Linked DNA regions of Schizosaccharomyces pombe. The main gene of each other region encodes a partner of the protein of the gene in region 2 in a complex. Each region holds a gene or a part of one and is shown on either strand. Other genes may lie near its edges. A codon is read from its position in the direction of its gene.

Region 1 (6,316 bases), on a different chromosome or scaffold from region 2:
GGCGCCAATGGTGAGATGGAGGTTACTTTTACTTCAGGTTTTGATGTTGATAACAATGCGAACTCTTCGGAAAAAGATGAAACCACTATTGAAAAATACAAGCGTAAGGCCGCTGAAAGAAAACAAAGACGGAAAGAATTGAGACAGCTTAAGAAAACAAAAGACGATGAAGGTGAAGGATCCGACGTTGATCTTGGTTTTGATGATCCATTCTTTAAGGACAAGGATGCTAGTCGTAACAATAAGAAAAACAAAAAGGGCAAGCATACTCAAATTGAAGATCCTACGGCCGCGTCTAAAGAAGAACTGGAAAACCTTGTTCGTGAAGATGAAAACGATTCTGAGCAGCTCGATCATTTTGACATGAAGAGTATACTGAAGGCTGAAAAGTTTAAGAAGAATCGCAAGCTTAAGAAAAAAGCCTCCAATTTGGAAGGCTTGCAGGAAGGATTCGAAGCTGATGTCAGTGACCCACGTTTTGCTGCTCTATATACTAACCATAATTTTGCACTTGATCCAACAAATCCTCATTTCAAACGTACTAAAACGGTGGAAAAAATTATGGACGAAAGTCGTAAAAGACGCTCAAATCAATTGGAACAAACACAAGACGGTAAGCCTGAGCTTAAAATCAAAAAGCGTAAAGCTGAAAAAGGAGATCAACGTCAAGAACTTGATCGCATTGTCAAATCTATTAAACGTTCTGGAAAATAAATTAGAAATTGTACTCTGTTTTTCCTCTTGAACGATTGGATTTATAGAGTTTGATTTTGTACATATAAATTGGTCAAAACGGGGTTTTTTTGGTTTGCTAATATATTTGTTTTGAATTTTATTTGATTTTAGAATGAAAGCACGTTAATTTACATGGTGTAAAATATTAGATTATTTTTTACATAAGTATGAATATAAAAATATCGGATCATGGTGTTGAGACCGCGATCAACACACTTAAATAATTTGAAAAAAAAAGCGTTAAACTATGCATAATTATACAGACGTTGAAGTCGTCAAAGTACATAGGGCAAAATCGGTTAAAGGAGGAGCGTTAGTAAAGGTAAGGACTAGTCATGAACAGAACATTCCATTTAAAATTGTTCCTTTTTTTTTTTTTTTTATAAAAAACTCTAATGAAGCTTTAACTTATGGCCACTTCAAATCAGCTGCTTCACTCGGATTTTTTAGCTTGCTTGCTATCACGAGCAGCGTAAATTTTAGCAGTAAAAGGTCTATTAATGGTTAGAGTAAAGAAAAATTTAAAAATTTAAACAGTTGGCAACTTACTCTTCAAATTTCAAAGCTATTCTATAAACGAAAAAGACTTCCAAAGTTAAAAGGAGGCCAGCAACTTTTCCATAACGCAGAGCTGTAGAAAGGAAACAAAGAGTAGAACCGTTGTACATTGGGTTATCGTTGACATTAAATGGGAAACCAGAAACACGCTCTGGAAGCAGAAATCCAAAGTAATCACCAAGATATGTACCAACAAGTCCTAGCTTATACATACTCGATAAGACAAGGACGCTGCCAAAACAAAAAATGAGCTTAGCTATACCCTGCACAAGAGGGTTCATGAAGATACCTAGCGTAGGTTGTTGTTTTAAAGCATTCTGATAAATTAAGTCACGAACTATTCCGGCAACAAAAATACAAGCTGCTAGCATGTAACAGGCCTTCTTAGAGTCGCCATTTGCCAATTTGGTCAAAGTCTTATGATTGTATTCTGAACGTGCAGCAATATTCCATAGCAGAGGGTTCAAAGCAATAGATACAGCACAAATTAAAAAAGAATTATTGATTTCAAAAATGGCCATGTTTAGCGAAAAATATGCTTTTATAAAAGGTTGATATAAATACGAAGTTGGTTTGGGGTAAAGAATCAAGCTCATTCAAACGACGTCTTTGATACAACGGAATTTAACGATATTGCTATTTTATAAAATAATGAGAGAAGGCCTGAAAAACATAAGTACTCATTTGTGTTTAAAAGATTAAATTAGAAAAAGGAAAGAAATGATTGATTTCGCATATTTCAAATTGTAAATTTTCGATGGGGGAGGTGGGTGTGGTTCTGGAGCTTTTTTTCTATAACAAAGAAAATTAATCCATAATGCCAAATTACATTCTTGAATTATTAAGCAAGTCAAAAATTAATTGTGATGGGGTGTCTTTGAGTCTCTACTTGTACTTGTTATATCAGTAATACTGGAAATTTGTATATCTTCGGATTCCCCTTCGGTTGAACTAGTAATTAATTTAAAGTTTTTTAAGCGAAAATACAATGTTGAGTTGAATTGGTTGGAAAAAAGATAGGAAATTGGAGTTTACTTTAAAACTGCAGCTTAAATATGTTTTTTTTTTTTATTGTTTATAAGAAGCATTTTATTATTGAACTTCTATATCCGTCAAGATTGACGAACACTATGAAACTGTAGCAAAGCCATTTAGCTAAGGAAAAAAATGATACATTGCTTCTTTCCTGAAATTACGCCACTGTTTATTGAATCTCTTAGTTTAAAAACTAAGTATGTATTTTTCATTTTGACTTAAAAATAAAGTTGAAGCAACTGGTATTCACTGCGTTAATCAAGCAAAAGAATAAACGACAAGTTTATCGAATATTTTATTCCATAAAAATAGAGTGAACATCAAATCACTTAAATTTAATTCCTTCTTAACTTAACCATCTAGCTTGAATTTTGCAGATTTGTTCAGAGATTGATATGAAATACACCTCAAGCCTAACGTGTTACTCAACTAAGCATTTCCGCCTAAAACGTTCGGTTTGGTAGAGAACTTCACATTCTAATCCTCCACACCCAATCAACATCATAGTCTCTTTCGTCGAATATTTCAATCTATTAGTGAATTAGAAATATTGGTTTATTGTTGATTAGTAAAATTTCGTTTTGAAAATTGATAACTCTGTGTAATTTCAGGCCTTTTTACCATTACAAAAGATGTTGTCACGTAGACAGTTAATACCCATTGCTACCAAGTCGGTTTCTCCTTTTCTTCGCTCCTCTATAACATGCCGTAGAATTTCGATGGGCCGTAAAGAACTGAGCGAGAAAGACTCAAATATTTTGGACAGCGTCATTCGTGTCGATCAAGCAGGTGAATTAGGCGCTAATCAAATTTACAAAGGTCAGCACTTTATCCTTCAATTTACCGATCCCAAAGTCGCACCTACCATTCAGCATATGTGGGATCAAGAAAAGTACCATCTCGCAACATTTGATAATTATGTCTTAAAGAATAGAGTCCGTCCTACCTTTTTACGTCCTTTCTGGGACATCGCTGGATTTGCGTTGGGAGCAGGAACTGCTTTGCTTGGAACCAAAGCAGCTATGGCTTGTACAGAGGCAGTAGAAACGGTAATTGGCGGACACTATAACGACCAACTACGTGAAACGGCTCATTTGGAAAATAAAGCTCCAGAATTTAAAGAGATTCGTAGCCATTTGGCAGAGTTTCGAGATGACGAGCTAGAGCATTTGAACACTGCAGTCGAAGGTTGGAACGCAAAGGAAGCTCCAGCTCATGCATTGCTTACCAATGCCATTCAAATGGGTTGCAAAGCGGCTATCTGGATGTGTAAACGATTTTAAATACTTCAAGTTTTCCTGCCTCAAACTCAACTTGCTAGTCCTTTATGAAGCAAAGAACGCCCATTTGATTCAAAATGTTTAGTTTTTCTTGCTTCACAATAGTATGATCCTTGTTAAAACTTACTTAATCTAATTAATACATTTTATCTAAATTCCTTTTCGCGTGTATTCAGTGTTTGTATTATATTTTTTTAATAGACTAATTAAGAAGTGTATGGTGCATAAAAAAACATAGATTTTGTTAAAAAAAGTTTTATGACCCCTCATAAATTATGGAATAATAATGACAAAAACGTCGTATTATAAATCCTGATATAGCTAATAGTTTATAAGACCGGAAACCTTTTAAGTTTTCATAATTGACAATAAACAGACTTGCCTGAGATCTATTTATTGCATTAATCTTGAAATTTACGCAAAGTGGAAAGCTCATCCAAGATGCCTTGAAGATTTTGGTCATCAATTTTATTCGCGAGACTAGGAATCAAGGTCCTAGCCTCTTCAGCGTCTTCGCAGCAGAGTGTTCCCAATTGTGCACGTTCAAATTTATGGAATCGATTACCAAGAATTCTATGAGGTTAGTCAAATATTTGCATACGGCTATTTTCCTCTAAAATTCTATTCAATTCTTTGAAATTATGTACCTTTCACATGCATAAGTGGCTTCAGCCGTTTTAAACCGAGCAAAAACATTGAAGTAAGCTACTGTTTTTTTCATCACACTATCCTAGTTAATTAAAAAAGAATATGCATACAATAAGACATACTCAGTCATTGGAATCTCACCATTAGTTTCGCGTGCTCGTTGTGCCAGAACTGTTTCAATAAGGATTTTGGCCTCTGAAACCGTCAACATATCCTCATTCTCAAACTCTTTTTATATTAGCAACAGAATAAAATTCAAATCCAACCTGGACCAAGTTTTAATTGTGCAGCATCTTCCTCAAAAATAGCCCTCGGCATTATGAATAGATGCTCGCAAACACTCTCTTCAGAATGTTGTTTTTTCTTTTTATCTAATTAAATCAATAACTATTATACAAATGTATTCCCAAAAATAATGTCAGAATGCTCTTTATGCACAACAACCAGCTTTCTTGCTGTTGCTTCGTGTCTAAAAATCGCGTCCTTGATTGCAGCATTTCTATAGCCGCTGCTAATAATAACGATATTTTATATTTATCTTAAAACTAAATAACGATTGTTCTTAATAACATTATGAATTTACCGAGATGTACGGAGATGTCTAAGAAAAATTTATTTTATTGATATTTCTTAATCATTTGTCTAGCTTAACGACGCCAGGGTTTTGGAGTATTTTCTCGTTAAAACCAAAGAGCTTTCTATTAAAATTATTCTCAAGTCTTTGCTTTAGAGACTTCGTATAGCTAAACGTTAATGCGCCTTAAAAACCTCAGATATGAGGATTCTTCTACTAATTTCGTTATATTCATTTGAAAATACGTTACATTCTTTTAAAGGGGTTATTTCTATTTTTACTGTGCTTAATTCTGAGATGAACCATTCGTTCTTGATTTATATGTTTGTTTTTTATAAATTTGTAAATTTATTTTTATTTTAATTTTAATTCTCACAATTTGACTTTGAATTTGATTTTTAATATGTAGGTTAAGGAAAACAGACTTCGTAACTTTACGATGTAATCGACTGAAGTGCATGTCGTTGTACCACTAATCAACTTAAACTTTTCTGTCTGCGGGATATTATAGAATCTTTTCGCATTCCTTTACCTACATTTCTCCCTTTCTTATTTTTTTACTTTTTCTTTGCTTGTGATTTTAAAAAAGAACGCATAAAAACACGAATTCACTCACAATTGCAGTGACAGCTGTTTTGTAGAATTTTATAAACTAATTGCTTTACCCTTAATCTCAAGATAGTTCTGTTATTCTAGAAAAAATGAGAAAAAAAGTCCTGTTAATGGGCCGCAGTGGCAGCGGCAAAAGTTCAATGAGAAGCATAGTTTTTAGCAATTATGTTGCCAAGGACACGAGAAGGCTAGGTGCTACAATTGATATTGAACATTCGCATGTAAGGTTCTTGGGAAATTTAGTTTTGAACCTATGGGATTGCGGTGGACAGGAGGCGTTCATGGAAAACTATTTATCTGCCCAGCGTGATCACATATTCAGAAACGTTCAAGTACTTATCTATGTTTTCGATGTTGAGTCAAGAGAATTTGAAAGAGATTTAGTAACTTTTCGTAATTGTCTAGAAGCAACAGTGGCCAATAGTCCCCAAGCTCGTGTATTTTGTTTAATACACAAGATGGATTTAGTTCAGGAAGATCTACGTGATTTAGTTTTTGAGGAACGTAAGGCAATTTTGTTAGAAACAAGTAAGGATCTTGAAACCACTTGTTTAGCTACTTCTATTTGGGATGAAACATTATTCAAAGCATGGTCTGCTATTGTCTATACTTTGATTCCTAATACGCCTACTTTGGAATCGCATCTCCGGGAATTTGCCAAAGCTGCTGAGGCTGCTGAGGTAATATTATTTGAAAGAACAACATTTTTGGTTATTTCTTCTTATTCTTCTGAGTCCAATCCTGCCACTGATGCTCACAGGTTCGAAAAAATTAGCAATATTGTTAAGCAATTTAAACTCAGTTGTAGCAAAATGCAAGCTCAATTTACTACTTTTGAGCTTCGTGGTGGTAATTTCTCTGCATTCATTGTTCC
Region 2 (6,783 bases):
TCATCTGGTGAAGACAAACTCATTGGACAGACCCCTATCAACATATCAAATTTTATCAATCAAGGCGAAAATGGTGCTTTAATGGAATACCATGACCCTCGAGAACTAACTGTACCTTTGTCCTCTACCCGGGGTATAAAGGGTAATGCAACAATAACTTTCAAATGTGACTTTTTCCCATCCGCTGTCACAACCTCGCTCAGCCCTGATGTGACACCCGCTCCTAAAGCTTCATCAACTGTTGCAACTGATAAAGTAAATATCGAAGTGCTTCCGGAAAGCCAAAAAACGCCTACAGCAGTCGACAACACTTCAACTTCTCGAGGGTCTACGTCTGTTAAAACCTCAAAACCAAAGAAGATTTCAGAACTGCTTATGCCGTCTGAAGCTGTAAATGCAGCTTTAGACTTTGAATCTGGCTTCATGGGTTTCGACATAATTTCGTATAAAATAGCTAAGCCAGCCCAAGAGTTAGCTATATTTTTAGACGATTTACCTCATCATATTTTCTTATCATCTGCCTTAAACGTCACCGGTGGTGCTACCCTGCATGAGTACGGCAATACTTTCATCAGACAACTTGAATATTCTCAATGTACTTTCAAGCTGCTAGATGGTGATAAGGAGGTTGGTAGCAAAACTATGCTGAGTCGCGATTTAATTAGTAAAGGCGCTACTAAACCTCTGGAAATTGCATTTCCTGATGGTGCTTCGATTTTGGTCGCTTTTAGGCTAACTCCTGTTCCTGTGAAACTTGAGGAAGTTGAAATGTACGAAAATATGGGAGAAATGACCGTCGATGTCATAAAAGCCACGGATCTCCCTGCCGCAGATTCCAATGGAAAGTCTGATCCTTTCGTTGTTTTCGAGTTGCAAGGAGAAGAAGTGTACCGGACTAAAACGCACAAGCGGACGTTAAATCCTACTTTTAATGAAAGTTTCGAGGTCGAACTTCCTTGCAAGCAAACCTGTAATTTTGTTGCTAATGTTTTTGATTGGGATTTTGGTAACAAGGACGATCATTTGGGCTCTTGTGTAATCGACTGCAAGCTTCTTCAACAGCAACAACAGACTAACTATGAAATTCCTTTGGATAGCAAACAAGGAGTTCTTTATCTTCGTATAACTCTGAGCCCAAAATGGGTCCTTCGTTCCAAACGCGCCGGAAATTCTTCTCTTGTCGAAGGAATTCTTGGACAGACTGCTTCGATTGTTGGTATGCCTCTTAAAGGCATTAGTACTGTAGGTAATGTTGCTGTTGATGGGGTTGCCTCGGTGGCTAACCTTACGAACAAAATGCGAAAAGGAATAAGCCGTGGTTTTAAAGGAATTCATCACGAGAAGGCAAAGTGACTTTCCATTCTGTTATTTATTAGTTCTTTATTACAATTCGGTTTTCGCATTCTGACTTATTTGAGTAATATATTATCATTATGTTAAATGCATACTTTGATTATAAGGTATTTGAATATTTTCATGGTTTTCTATTTACCGAAGAACGATAAAGACTTATGCACTCCTAATAGATAAAATGCTAGCCCAAGATTGTATTCATAAGGAAATCGTCGATTGATATTGCGATTATATACAATAATTAGGGAAATTCTATTGTTGTGTAAAGGGTATATAAAGTTAAAATTTTTTTTTAAAGATATTGCGCAGCTTTTAGCCATAACATTACCACAGAATAGAGCCAAAATTTAGATCGATAAACGTTGGTATGCGCTTTTACAACTACATGAATAAACTTTGAGACCTAGAAAGGAACTTAATAATAACAGTATACGCGATGGTTAGCATTGAATTAATGAACATGAGAAATAAAAGACAAATTAAAATTTTATCTTTTTAAAGAACGCCTAGATAATCCTCTTTCATTGTTGCAATGGCAAACTAGATATTATGTTAGTAACACGATTAATTAAGCAAAATAAATATTGTGAACTATTGGGAAACTTACAATTTCGGTTGCATCAGTCCTTGTACCGACAATCTTAAGTCTGACATTCGACCCCTTTTCAATAACTTGATCCTCACCAGAATAATTAGGAGGGTTTGCAGTAGGGTCAAACTTCATATCTGGAGGCACCAAATGAGATGAGACAAAGACATTTAATGGTCCTATATTTGCGAAGAATCCCATTTTATTTACTGTTGTAACAATTGCATCGACCACTTCCCCACGAAATGGTCTCCATAACACTGCACGATACTTTACCTCAAATTCGGCAAACCCTTGCCCAGGAACTACCCTCCCTTTATCAATATCTATAGTATTACTGTCCAAAACGCAAATTATATAGCCATATTGACCTGAGCATGTGCCTTCCACGTCCGCCAACAATTTTGCCTTTAAATAGTCCTGCATTCTAGGACCGAAGTAACTGGGATGCAGAGAAATCGTTAACGAAAGCTCTTTGAGGAAGAAAGGCATTGTATCGATAAGTTAATGCAGAAAAGCCCCAATTCAACTCGATCGGTCGATGCGTATTAAAACTGTAAAATTTTGGTTCAAAATAGGGCAAAAATGATGAACATTAAAAAAAAAAACTTTAAATGAGCTTAGCTCTTTTTATTAAATTAAATTATCCCAATTTTTCAGCGGTTTTCGCAATTGCTTGATATATGCTGAGCGTTCGAGGATTTACGAAGTCCCAGTATCATGGGATAGCGCTTATAGAAATATCCCAAATTTTATATGCCTTTCACCTTGCTACTGAGAAGGATTTTAACAAGTGAATATTATTTTATCTCTAATAAGCATCTATTACGTCCTATAAAAAGCTCACTTACACTATTCCAAATTAATAAATCAAATATGCCAAGAATGAATCAATCATTGAGTCTATGTAAAATATTCATAACAAGTAATCAAATTGAAAATGGTGATAAATATTGTATACTGACCGAAGAAAATTGACATCCTTGCCCATCAGTGAGTAATGCAATTACTCATCAGTTTGTTCAAATGAATATTTATCTAAGCTTGTACAGATAAGTAGGTGTAACCCACTTATATAATTGTTCTTAATTACGAAGAACAATTTCCTTCGGCTTGTTGTCACGGAAGTATTTTTTCATAAGCTCTTCAATAATCCAACAAGCCGCGTAATCTACAACCATTGTGGCTAACAGTTGTATCTGGAAATTATAAGCCATTTTAACTAACTGAAGTTTTGCGTTGAGTTCAGGCGAAAACTCAGTTACACCAGCAATAGCGACAAAGGCAATGCCCAAAAGGCCATAGTACATTCCTTTATTTTCACTTAAAGCTTCACGGAAAGGACGGCCCTGATAATTGATAGCAAACGTTGAGACTTGTTGAATAAGTTGAAGCAAATAAATGGCAGTATTCAACAAAGAAGGCTTGAAGGTTTCTTCTAAATCCACCTTTTCTAAAGGATCCTCATACAGATAAACGACACGAGTTATATAGATAAGGGTAACGATATGAATAGCAAACTGACCTAAAACAGAACCAATTATGTAAGTGTTAAAAATTCCAGCTTGAGGCCTTTCTTTTGAAAGAGTTTCAAGTGGACGAGCCCGTGAAACACAGTAAAAACAAACAGACATTAACATTCCCGAAATAGTGTATTGAGTATCACCAAATTTAATTCCATCCAGATGAAGTACTGACAACGAGTAAGCAGTGATCAAACAGTTGAGAGCCAAAATCTTATGCATTTGAACGAGGGCAACTAAAGTACAACGACCTTGACGCACAATGTTGGTTATCGAAGAAACTACAGCTAATTTAGAAGTAAATGGTGCAGCAACAGAAGCGTCTCCTAGCTTAAGTTTCGGTGCCTCATCATCAGAAGCGTTTGCTAAAGTGTCAAACATCTTGTTAGCCAGATTTGCCCGTCTTTCAGCAGCTTTCTCAGCTTCCGTTAATTGAACATCACTAGCTTTCTTAGTTTCCAAATCTTCCAGGACCTTATTTAAGCCTTCTTGAGTCTTTTCACGATGAGGGTTGTTAGGACCAGGAGGGAAAGCATGGCAAAGTGCAGGTGGAACAGGAGGAGTTGGAAGATTAAATCTTTTAGCAAGTTGAATTTGCTTTTCATAAACGCCCATCAACTTCTGATTACGAGCTCTCTCTTGCATTTCAAGCATATCTTCTTCCGAAGCATTTAATAAAGCTACACCAACGTGTGCTTGTTTAAGAGCACCCACATCATTGGTACCATCACCACACATAAGAGTTATATATCCATTGTGTTTCAAAGTTGAGATCATGAATTCTTTTTGAGAAGGAGAAACACGCGCATAAACCCAAGCGTGAGTAAAAATTGACATAATAACGTCCGGATTGATAATTTGAGACAAAGCACGACCGGTAATACAAAGATCATACTTTTCGTACAACGAAGCTTCCAACGATTTATGAGGATTCATGGGTAAATTGATTGTATCATCTGTGCTCTTCCACTCTAAAATCTTTTCATTCTCATGCTTAATATCCAATACGAGGGTTGGCTTTTCAACAATACCAACTTGTTCAGCTACATATACGGCGGTCAGAGGATTGTCACCAGTTATCATCATGCAACGATGCGAAGAATTGTTTAGCATTTGCACAGTTTGCCTAGCATCCTCTTTAAGAGGAGAAGTAAAAATAAGGAATCCCGCAAATACAAGGTCAGACTCAATAGATTCACGGCTCAAATCAGAAACTTGATTCTCAGGGATATAATTTTTAAAATATTTATAACCTAGGGCGAGTACTCGAGACCCTTTACGACCATAATCTTTATAAATTTTTTCATAATCCTTAGGGACCTCCCGCAACATAGTAGCAATCACTTCAGGGGCTCCTTTTACCGAAACAAAAGTTTTAAAACTTCCTCCAGACACTCTTACGTTGGAAACAGAAGACTGTCTTTTTAAAGCTGAAGAAAATTGGAAGTTTCGAATGATTTGAACTTTACCTTTATAAAAAACAGAACCTTCAGGTGCTGAAACAAAATTCTTTTTCTCAATAGACCAACCCAAGTTTTCAACCGTAGCCTTTTCCATGGGGTCACCAACGACTTTGGGAGTTTCACCTTCTTGTTCCAGCAAAACTAAGGTATGTGCCGTAGCAATTGCCAGTATCGCATCGTTAGAAGCATCGCTTAATTTTTCAAGACTATAAGGATCCTTTCTATTAACTCCAGCAATACCTTGAACAACCATATGCTCTTCAGTTAAGGTACCCGTCTTATCAAAGCAACAGATATCCAAATGACCGGAGAGTGGTATACGAAATGGCTCAGTACAATAAATATAATATTTAGAAAGAGCACCTAATGAGGCATTGACAGCCATAGAAAGCTCCATAGGGAGTTCAGAAGGGACAACAGAAGTAATAATCATAACACAATCGAGCATTAATTTGTATCTGCTACGCTCAGTTTTACTGCCGACATGCCAAACATATCCAGAGGCTGCAATAGCGAACACTAGCAAAAATAGAATAAAGTAAAGACTTTCTCGATTGTTTGCAGTGACCTTTTCCGAAGAAAATACCATGGTACGTACCAAAGAACCCTGACTTGTTTCAAATCCGGTACGAAGAACAATTGCAGGAACACCATTATCTGGAGTCTTAAGTTTGCAAAACGGCGATTGAGTTACTTGAAGAACCCTAGTTCCTCCAAACAAAACAGCGTTTTTGTCAAGCTCATCGACATCAATAACAGCTTCTTCGGGGCGCAACTCAATAGATTCCTTAACCAGAGGTGTAGATTCTCCAGAAAGCATAGCCTCATTTACTACACAAGAACCTGAAAGTAAAAGAAGATCACATGGAAGCCCACTGTCTTCCTTATTGTGAAGGACAGATACGACATCATTTGGAAGCAAATCTTCGGTAGAGATAGGGAACCAATGCTTATTGCGATAAACTTGAATTTCATAAGGTTTAATGCTCATAGTACGAAATTCGGTCAATGTACGTTGACGTTGCCATACTACTGAACATTCAAGAGCAATAATCATGAACATTGAGAAAAGAGAAAAGTACCAGTAGTCATCAAGACACCACAAAACACAGCAAAAAATTTGGAAGACAAAAAATGGAGCAACTGCGTGCTCCTTGAATAAAGTACCAAAGGTAGGAATAGGTATATCGAAGCAATTTTTACCATAACGATAAAGAAATATTTCAGATTGAATATTGGTAAGCCCTGTACTTTTTTTGAGAGTCCCAATAGTTGAAGGTTCATCCATTGGAAAAGTTATATTTGCGAAGCATCCTTTTTCTGGTTCATAGATAAACCGTTTACGTTGAAAAGAGAAGCTGTACTGAATCGTTTGTGAGTCAGGAAGAACCAACTTAGTGATTGGCTCCACACTAGATGATTCTCCTATTTTACTAGGAGTAACAAGGATATGAGTAGCTTGTTCGACCTTGTCAGTTTTTCGACAAGTCATGAGACAGTAAACCTTCGTGTTCCATTCACCAGCTAGCCAGAATAATGCATGAATAGTACCGACAGCAATGTATGTTAAATAACGAACCTCTTCAGAATAGAGTTTGTTTTGATATACATATCCAATATAGGGGTACACAAATAATGCAAAAGGCCACACATATAAATGAAAAAATGTGGGCAACTTTATATAAAGTTGCCCAGAACTTATGTCTGGGCTAGTAATTAAAGCCTTACTCCCCATATAATTCCTTTTTCTAGATAACTGAAGCAATTACTACTTACAGTCAGTATTCTAATGTGGTGTGTTGGGCAGGTTTTGGTACAGCACAATTTCAGTATCGCTCTTATATTTCTGTACACC

The links.
Region 1: the proteins of rpb7 (region 2) and rpb4 are in contact, whole or in part, in a crystal structure (PDB 3H0G), measured with the Schizosaccharomyces pombe proteins. Residues at the interface, in NP_001342741.1 of Schizosaccharomyces pombe: Phe3 (codon at 2,428), Phe4 (codon at 2,425), Leu5 (codon at 2,422), Lys6 (codon at 2,419), Leu32 (codon at 2,341), Glu36 (codon at 2,329), Gly37 (codon at 2,326), Gln42 (codon at 2,311), Tyr43 (codon at 2,308), Tyr45 (codon at 2,302), Ile47 (codon at 2,296), Cys48 (codon at 2,293), Val49 (codon at 2,290), Leu50 (codon at 2,287), Asp51 (codon at 2,284), Val78 (codon at 2,203), Arg81 (codon at 2,194), Phe83 (codon at 2,188), Arg84 (codon at 2,185), Gly85 (codon at 2,182), Glu86 (codon at 2,179), Val87 (codon at 2,176), Asp89 (codon at 2,170), Ala90 (codon at 2,167), Ile91 (codon at 2,164), Asn103 (codon at 2,128), Ile104 (codon at 2,125), Gly105 (codon at 2,122), Pro106 (codon at 2,119), Asn108 (codon at 2,113); in NP_595415.1 of Schizosaccharomyces pombe: Glu8 (codon at 4,553), Asp9 (codon at 4,550), Ala10 (codon at 4,547), Leu15 (codon at 4,532), Glu18 (codon at 4,523), Phe19 (codon at 4,482), Glu22 (codon at 4,473), Asp23 (codon at 4,470), Met24 (codon at 4,467), Leu25 (codon at 4,464), Ile34 (codon at 4,437), Val37 (codon at 4,428), Gln40 (codon at 4,419), Arg41 (codon at 4,416), Val54 (codon at 4,332), Met55 (codon at 4,329), Lys57 (codon at 4,323), Thr58 (codon at 4,320), Tyr61 (codon at 4,311), Phe62 (codon at 4,308), Val64 (codon at 4,302), Phe65 (codon at 4,299), Arg67 (codon at 4,293), Phe88 (codon at 4,156), Gln92 (codon at 4,144), Thr95 (codon at 4,135), Leu96 (codon at 4,132), Cys97 (codon at 4,129), Cys98 (codon at 4,126), Glu103 (codon at 4,111).

What each region holds. Positions count from the first base shown.
Region 1 is NC_003423.3:1,053,920-1,060,235, reverse strand, and holds rpb4 (DNA-directed RNA polymerase II complex subunit Rpb4), read right to left. Parts: upstream 4,728-6,316; 5' UTR 4,575-4,727; coding exon 4,523-4,574; intron 4,485-4,522; coding exon 4,379-4,484; intron 4,334-4,378; coding exon 4,256-4,333; intron 4,182-4,255; coding exon 4,010-4,181; 3' UTR 3,734-4,009; downstream 1-3,733. Other genes in the region: pre-rRNA processing protein Esf1, read left to right, coding at 1-714; cho1 (putative phosphatidyl-N-methylethanolamine N-methyltransferase), read right to left, coding at 1,169-1,229, 1,285-1,814; ubiquinone biosynthesis protein Coq7, read left to right, coding at 2,961-3,611; Gtr1/RagA G protein Gtr1, read left to right, coding at 5,532-6,316. UniProt on the Schizosaccharomyces pombe protein: DNA-dependent RNA polymerase catalyzes the transcription of DNA into RNA using the four ribonucleoside triphosphates as substrates. Component of RNA polymerase II which synthesizes mRNA precursors and many functional non-coding RNAs.
Region 2 is NC_003424.3:2,897,939-2,904,721, reverse strand, and holds rpb7 (DNA-directed RNA polymerase complex II subunit Rpb7), read right to left. Parts: upstream 2,639-6,783; 5' UTR 2,435-2,638; coding exon 1,961-2,434; exon of another isoform or gene 1,894-1,960; coding exon 1,849-1,893; 3' UTR 1,589-1,848; downstream 1-1,588. Other genes in the region: tcb3 (tricalbin), read left to right, coding at 1-1,353; P-type calcium transport ATPase Cta4, read right to left, coding at 3,028-6,663.